Cricetulus griseus: one gene and its partner. The protein of the gene in region 1 interacts with the protein of each later gene in a biochemical or structural test. Links are inferred from orthologs where the notes say so. Each region holds a gene or a part of one and is shown on either strand. Other genes may lie near its edges.

Region 1 (3,500 bases):
ACCTCAGTCTGATTCAGTGGGGCTGCAGCAGACCTGAGCTGGAGATTCCCTGGGTAAGGGAAGTTCTCAACCAGCCTGGGAACTTCTATGCCCTGGATGAAACTCTGGAGCACTAGAAACAGATAGAGGTTATTCCGGGCTACAGAGAATTAGTGCCAGCCTGGGCTACACTTGAGAACGTCTCTTGGAACCAGAAGCAGTTGGGCATAGTGGTGCACGCTTTTAATCCCAGCATTTGCTGAACATTTGGGAGGCGGAGGCAGGTGGATCTCTGAGTTTTCGGGTAGCATGGTCTACAAAGCAAGTTCCAGGACAGTGCGACCACACACACACACACACACACACACACACACATATGCACGCACACACACATGCACACACAAAGGTTTTTAATCAAAGCTTCTCTCAAGTACAGTAGTATAAAAGATCCCTCTTTACCAAAAAGAACAGCATATGCATGCAGCCTAAAGGAAAGGCTGATTTTTCTCTATGCCACCATTCAAGCTCCCAGCAAGGGTCTTTGACCTCAGAAGGTGTGTGGAAATGCAGTGTGTGTGTCACATACTTATGTGCACACATGGCTCAAAGCCTGGGATCTAGAACAAGGTGGAGGCATTTTGTATCCACCCTTTTGATGTAGAGACTGCTATACATGCCTCAGACTGCTTTCTGCTTCCCTTTGGGCTCCTGGCTATAACCCTGTATGTCTGCACCCCCCCCCCACCTATGTGTACATGCATATGCAGGTGAGCCCACCCGTGTACATACATGCGGAGACCAGAGCAGGTTGTCTTCCTCTATCACTGTCCACCTTATTGCCTTGAGACAGGGTCTCTTACTGAACCAGAAGCTTACTGTTTTTGCTAGGCTGGCTACGAGTGAGCTTCCGGGATGTACCTGTGTTCATCCCCAAATGCTCAGGTTACAGGTTACAGGCATGTGCAGACACACTCTGCTTCTTTTACTTAGGTGTAGAGGATTCGACCTCAGGCCTTTGTGTTTGCACAGAAAGCACTCCTACCCACTAAGACATCTCCTCCCCAGGCCTGTGATATCATTTCTTAAGAAGGGCTTCTTGCCGGGCATTGGTGGCACATGCCTTTAATCCCAGCACTCGGGAGGCAGAGGCAGAGGCAGAGGATCTCTGTGAGTTCGAGACCAGCCTGATCTCCAGAGTGAGTTGCCAGGATAGGCTCCAAAGCTACACAGAGAAACCCTGTCTTGAAAAACCAAAAAAAAAAAAAAAAAAAAAAAAAAGAAGGGCTTCCTGGCATCACAACTTCTAGCACCTGGAAATACCTTAATAACCTGTGACAAATGATGTGTGGCTGCTGGCATCAGTGATTCTGATTTTCTCTTTGGTGGCTTCTCCTTCAATTCTGTTAGCAGCAAGTTGGCAATGACCTAAGAAAACACAGAGTCCAGAGCAAGGGCTGTGAAGCAGCAGTACAGCATGTGTTCAGCATGCTTAAGGCTATGGGCTCCATGCCAGCGCAAGTCAATACATACACTTTTAGGATACACATGTAAAATGATGTGTGCAAGGTCACTGAGGGTTATTGCTACTCGGCATTGGTTGTAGTTGCAGAAATATGGGACTCCCTCCACTTCCACCGGCAGGGAGGAGATAGATTTTGTCACAGATGCTGTAATGGTGTAGAATAAGTAGCCATTGGTACAAGAAAGTCCCCTGTGGAATAACAAAGCATTAAGCCTGAACCTTGGTGACACACACCTGTAATCCCAGAAAATGAGAGACGGTCAAGCCTGATGCCCTGAGTTTGTTCCCCAGGCCCCAGATGTTAGGAGGAGAGGATCAACAAGTTGTCCTCTGATCTCCCCACATGCACTGGGGCACATGAACACACACACAGACACACCCACACCCACACCCACACCCACACACGCACGCACGCACGCACGCACGCACACTCGTAAAAAGATTAGATAAACAGCCAGGCGTGGTGGCACACGCCTTTAATCCCGTCACTCGGGAGGCAGAGGCAGGCAGATCTCTGTTGAGTTCGAGGCCAGACTGGTCTACAGAGTGAATTACAAGCAGGCCAGAGCTACATATTGGTATCCTGTCTCAAAGTAAATAGACAGATAAATTAATTAAAAACTAAGTGAGCAAGAATGAAGCAAGTATTAAGTATAAAAAGCAAAGGGCAAAGCCCTCCCATATGCGTTAAAGATACATGTGTTTACTTGCACATGCATGTGTGTTTCTATGTGTGGGCTATTTAAAGGGCATAGAAGCATTGTCACTGTCACTGGGCAGGCAGGTGAGGGATGGACCATGCACAATTATTGCTAGTTGGAAACAATACAAATAAGTAGGGGTGGTGGCTACTGGGGATGCAGGTTAATTAGCAGAGTGCTTGCCTAGCTTACAGGGAGCCCTGGGCCTGACCCTCACCATTACATAAACCGGCTGTGGTGGCATATACCCATGATTCCAGCATTGGGGACAAGAGGGCAGGAAGATCCAAAGTCCAAGGTCCTCATCAGCTGGATAGAGAATTCAAGTCCAGCTGTGCTACTTGAGAGAGCCTGTTTCAAGAATAAATGAATAGCCAGGTGTGGTGGTGAATGCCTTATAGCTCTAGGGAGGCAGAGGCAGGTAGACTCTGAATCCTAGGCCAGCACTGGTCTACAGAGCAAGTTCCAGGACAGCCAGGGCTACACAGAGAAGCCCTACATCAAAATAAAGTAAAATAAAATGAATGAATGAATGAATGAGTGAAATTAATTAATTAATTAATTAATTACAAGAGTGGTTTCCTCCCACCATAGACTCTGGTGTGTAGACAGTCTGGGCTCATCTGTTTTCCACAGGGTAATCGTTCATCTCACCCTAACTTCTTACAGATTGAAACCCACAAGCTGACCTTCCGAGAGAATGCCAAAGCCAAGACAGACCATGGAGCAGAAATTGTGTACAAGTCACCTGTGGTGTCTGGGGACACATCTCCACGTCACCTCAGCAATGTGTCCTCCACGGGCAGCATCAACATGGTGGACTCACCACAGCTTGCCACACTAGCCGATGAAGTGTCCGCTTCTTTGGCCAAGCAGGGTTTGTGATCAGGCCCCTGGGGCGGTCAATAATCGTGGAGAGAAGAGAGAGTGAGAGTGTGGAAAAAAAAAAAAAGAATGATCTGGCCCCTCGCCCTCTGCCCTCCCCGCTGCTCCTCACAGACCGGCTGACCGGCTTGTCACCTAACCTGCTTTTGTGGCTCGGTTTTGGCTCGGGACTTCAAAATCAGTGATGGGAATAAGTAAATTTCATCTTTCCAAATTGATTTGTGGGCTAGTAATAAAATATTTTTAAAGACAAACATGTAAAAACATGGCCAAACCCAACATTTCCTTGGGCAATTGCTATTGACTTTTCCCACCCCCACCCCACCCCATCCCCTTTTTGAGTATTAGAGGGTGAAGGAGGCTCTGGAGGCTACTTCAGGGGAGTTTTGAGGGACTAGGGCAACGGTTTGCCC
Region 2 (4,178 bases), on another chromosome or scaffold:
CTACTCACTATGCTCCCCATCCCAGGCTCCAGCTTCTGCAACCTCACTCCCTGTTCCCGGAGAAATACCCTGTTTATGAGCAGGTTCTGGGGCTTCAGGTCCCTATGCAGCACGTTGCGGCTGTGACAGAATCCCAGGCCTTTCAGCAGCTGGAAGAGGAATGACTGGGAGAGGCAGGGAAGAGGGAGTCAGACCCACTGTGTCCTATAGCCCATATGACTTGCAGCAAGTCAAGAAGTCTATCCAATTACTCTGTAATTTAGTGCGTGTGTGTGTGTGTGTGTGTGTGTGTGTGTGTGTGTGTGTGTGTGTCTGTGGAAGCCAAAAGAAGGGGTAGGATCTCCTGGAACAGAAGTTACAGGTAGTTGTGAGCCACCCAATATGAATACTGGGAACAGAGTCTTCTGCAAGAGCAGCAAGTACTCTTAACAAATGAACTATCTTTTCAGCCTCTCATCGAGTTACTTGTGAGACTCTGCTTTGCATGCACTAGGTAGTAGAGGTACAACAGTAACCAAGTTTTCCTTGCTACTCACACCTTTTTTGTTTTTTGTTTTTTGTTTTTCGAGACAGGGTTTCTCTGTGGCTTTGGAGGCTGTCTTGGAACTAGCTCTTGTAGACCAGGCTGGTCTCGAACTCACAGAGATCCGCCTGCCTCTGCCTCCCGAGTGCTGGGATTAAAGGCGTGCGCCACCACTGCCCGGCCTCACACCTTTCTTAACTGATGGTTGGTGGGCCCTCCTGCATCTCCAGTCCATGCTGGTTTTCCCTACATGGCTGCAATTTAGCACACACACCTTGACCATCAACACAAATACAAAGCTATAGTATTACTCAGGACCTGATTCCCTTGGAACCTGGGCCACGGTACTTGGTCTTGGGCCTAGAAAAGTGCCTGGTAAAAAGCAAAACCTACAGCATATATTTGTTTTGTTTGCCTTTCTCTCTCTCTTGTTCTCGCTCACTCTCTCTCTGTCAAGATTTACTTAATTTTTAAATTATGTATGCATGTGTGTAGGGGGGGTATGTGCCCTTGGAGGCCAAAAGAAGGTACTGGATCCCCTGGATCTGGAGTTACAAGTGGTTGTGAGCCACTTTGTGTGGTTGCTGGGAACTGAACTCATCATCTGCAAGAGTAATTAATATGAGTTAACTGCTGAGCCATCACTCTAATCTTTTTGTTTTGTTTTTGCCCTGATGTTTGAAGCAAGGCCCTGCTATGCAGCTCAGGCTGGTTTTGAGATCCTCCTGCCTCAGACTTCCGAGTGCTAAAGTTAGAAGTATTTGCCACTACGCAGGGCTGGTATTTGTTGAACCCATGAGATATTTCTTATGTGCATATGATATCACTGAAATCAGACACTGTGCAAGTCAAAGGAGACCGAATAAAAATGTTCACTAAGACTAGTAGCCCTTGGAAGGCAGAAACAGATTTTCTCTGGTACTCCAGGAGCTCAACCTGTTACTCAAGGAGAGCTGATGGATATCCTAGGCACACCCTAACTCCATAAATCCCAGACACTTCTCTCCTCACCTTCACAATTTCAGGGTCCAGGTCACCATTGCAGCTGTCAAAATATTTCTTCAGGTCCTAAATATAGATGAGGGTGTGGAGCAGAGAACAGAGTTCAGCTTTAGTCTGGACTCCTATACCCTCCCATGAGCACTAACCTCTCCCACCACCCAGCCCTCTTTCACCTGATCACAGAACTCAAAAACCAACGTCAGCTTCTTGTCACTATGCAGGACATCATGAAGCCTAGAGAGAATGGAAGACTCAGACAGATCCCCAAGCTGGCCTCTAGCATCCCAATACAGTCCAGTCTGATGGGGGTCTGTCTCCTCCAAGAGACCTCACCTGACAATGTTTTTGTGCTTCAGTTCCTTGAGTAGACATATCTCCCGGAGGGCTGAACTTGGCACGCCCTACAATGTGCAAGGGGACAGTAGTCACAGCCCACCCCAGACAGGCCCTGCACCTCTCCCCCCATGCCTCTGTCTTACCTCATCGTCATCATCCAGCCTCACACGCTTCAGAGCCACAATCTCATGGGTTTCCCGGTTTTTGGCCTTGAACACAGTTCCATAGGTGCCTAGGGGAAGGTCGGGGGTGAGGGAGAGGATCCTCCTCAACATCTTAGTGTGCAAGGGCAAGTTTTCAGGTGAAGGCTAGGTATGGAGTAGTTCTGTGAGTGAGGATGCTAAGGTGGAGGTCCCTAAACCGGTTCAAGGCTCCAGCTGCAGGGAGAATCTGCCATAAGCTCGGGGGGTGGGGGTGGGGGTGGGTCGGGAAGTATCGAGGAGTCATCTAGGAGAGCGGTAAAGGCCTGCAAAAAAAATGTTAAGGTTGGGAGTTCTGCAGGGAATTGAAGCAGGGGTTCCAGGTGAGGTTTGCAAGTGATGCTGAGGCTAGGGGTGAAAAATGCAGGAAGTGCCGCGGCTAGGAAAAAACGGTCCACAGAGACTGCTAAAGCTAGGAGCAAGAGTTTGCGGCAGATGCTAACACAGGGAGAAGGGCTGGTGTCTGCACCGAGTGTTGGACTCAGCGGCCAGGGCTTTTGCCCAGTGCTGCGGTCGGAGCCTGCAGGTATAGCTGACGGTAAGGGAGCTGGGACTGCAAGCAGGGTCTTCAGAAAAGGACCTTTCAGGAACATCTCGTGGTTCCATTACCTTCCCCAATCTTCTCCAGTTTCTCGTATTTCTGCATCGCAGCGGCCGCGGGGACCCCTGCGGGCCCTCGGTTCTAAGACTCCCGGCCCCGGCGTTGCAGAGGAGGTGGTACCCACAGCTCCAACCCCGCCCACCCACTCCCCCACGCACAGGCTTCTGGGACTTGTAGTTCCGGGGTGGCCATGTTCCCCAAGAACGCCCGTAGCGGAGGGCACGAGGACTACAAAGTCCAACAGGCCGCTGTCGGACTCTATGCAGCGATCAACTCCCGGGACTCGTTTCCACCGCGGAGGCAAACCTAAAACTTCAATTCCCAGGAAGCATCGCGTGTCCGCTTGTCGGGCGTCTCCGCCAAGGCGCGGAGGCTCCCAGTGTGCCCCGCTCTTGTTATTATTCCTTCTCTGTGTTCACAGCCTTTCAGAAAAGGGCCGCTCAGGGACTACGCGTTCCAGAATACAGCGAGGGTGGGGGCGGCTGCGCCCGCCGAGCCTGGAGCAGGCGCGGGACGGCCTAGATCCCGGGCGCTGCGGGCCCGGCTCTGACCTGGTTGGGTGTGTTGAGTCGGCAGCGACCCGCTGACAGCTTCAGCGCCGGTGCCCCCCGTGTCTCCCTAGGCCACCTGGCGACCCCGGGACCGAGGGGGGACGGTTGTGAGCGGTGTCCCACTGCTGGTGACCGCACAGGGGCCAGCTGAGCACAGGGCCGGGCATCGAGGCAGGTGTGCCCGTTAGAGGCCGGTGTGACACACGCCAGACACCCCTCGGTTACGGTCTCCAAAGCCGCGGACTCCGGCGGGGGCCCCGCTCTGACATGCCGAGGCCAGCAGACTGCAGCCTGGGTGCCCCCCAGATCCCAGTCTTGAGAGCAGGCCCACTGGAGTCAGCCAGGGTGTGGCCCACGAGGACTGGCAGGTCAGTCACTCCCCCGCAGACGAGCCACAGACGCTGCGACAGCGGGAGCAGGCAGCCTTTACCGCACCCCGCAAAGGAGTTGATTATAGATTTTCCTGCACTGCTCTCTAATTGTCTCATGATTGCATTCCTGAGGGCTGGCTGTGAACCGGGCGCAAACGGCCCCGGACAGCGTTCCTCCCTCCCCAGCGCCGGGACCAGGGCAGCGCTAACTATCGGTTAATCGACTTATTAAGTCCGAGTGCTTTTGCATAAACGAGATCGTGGTTCACCCACGAGGCAGACGGAATGAAAGACGCATAAAGTGCATCCCTTATCATCTGAAATAACCGGGAATGAAAGACGCATAAAGTGCATCCCTTATCATCTGAAATAACCGGTGCTTTGGCCGAGAAGGCAGGATGCACGACACGCAGAGGTCTTTAAAGTACAAGCGTCGACTGCGGACACGCAGCCTTCCACTCAGCGCGGAGGTGGCTCTGGCCGAGCGAGGAGGAGTCCTCAACGAGCCGTCCCGTTCTCCGTCGGCTCAGGGTCAGGGTCACCCAGGCCTCCGGTTCCCGTGCCATGCTTCCTCCCAGGCAGACGCCAGGGCTT

The links.
Region 2: of the proteins of microtubule-associated protein tau (region 1) and Cdk5, one has a biochemical effect on the other in vitro, tested with the Homo sapiens proteins (10 studies listed by BioGRID and IntAct, with this or other methods). The link is inferred for Cricetulus griseus from reciprocal best matches to the Homo sapiens genes MAPT and CDK5.

Annotation. Positions count from the first base shown.
Region 1 is NC_048600.1:117,359,753-117,363,252, forward strand, and holds part of microtubule-associated protein tau, read left to right. Parts: intron 1-2,871; coding exon 2,872-3,087; 3' UTR 3,088-3,500. UniProt on the Homo sapiens protein: Promotes microtubule assembly and stability, and might be involved in the establishment and maintenance of neuronal polarity.
Region 2 is NC_048601.1:98,098,650-98,102,827, reverse strand, and holds the start of Cdk5 (cyclin-dependent-like kinase 5), read right to left. Parts: upstream 2,801-4,178; 5' UTR 2,708-2,800; coding exon 2,671-2,707; intron 2,094-2,670; coding exon 2,005-2,093; intron 1,927-2,004; coding exon 1,859-1,926; intron 1,760-1,858; coding exon 1,699-1,759; intron 1,592-1,698; coding exon 1,535-1,591; intron 165-1,534; coding exon 69-164; intron 1-68. UniProt on the Homo sapiens protein: Proline-directed serine/threonine-protein kinase essential for neuronal cell cycle arrest and differentiation and may be involved in apoptotic cell death in neuronal diseases by triggering abortive cell cycle re-entry. Interacts with D1 and D3-type G1 cyclins.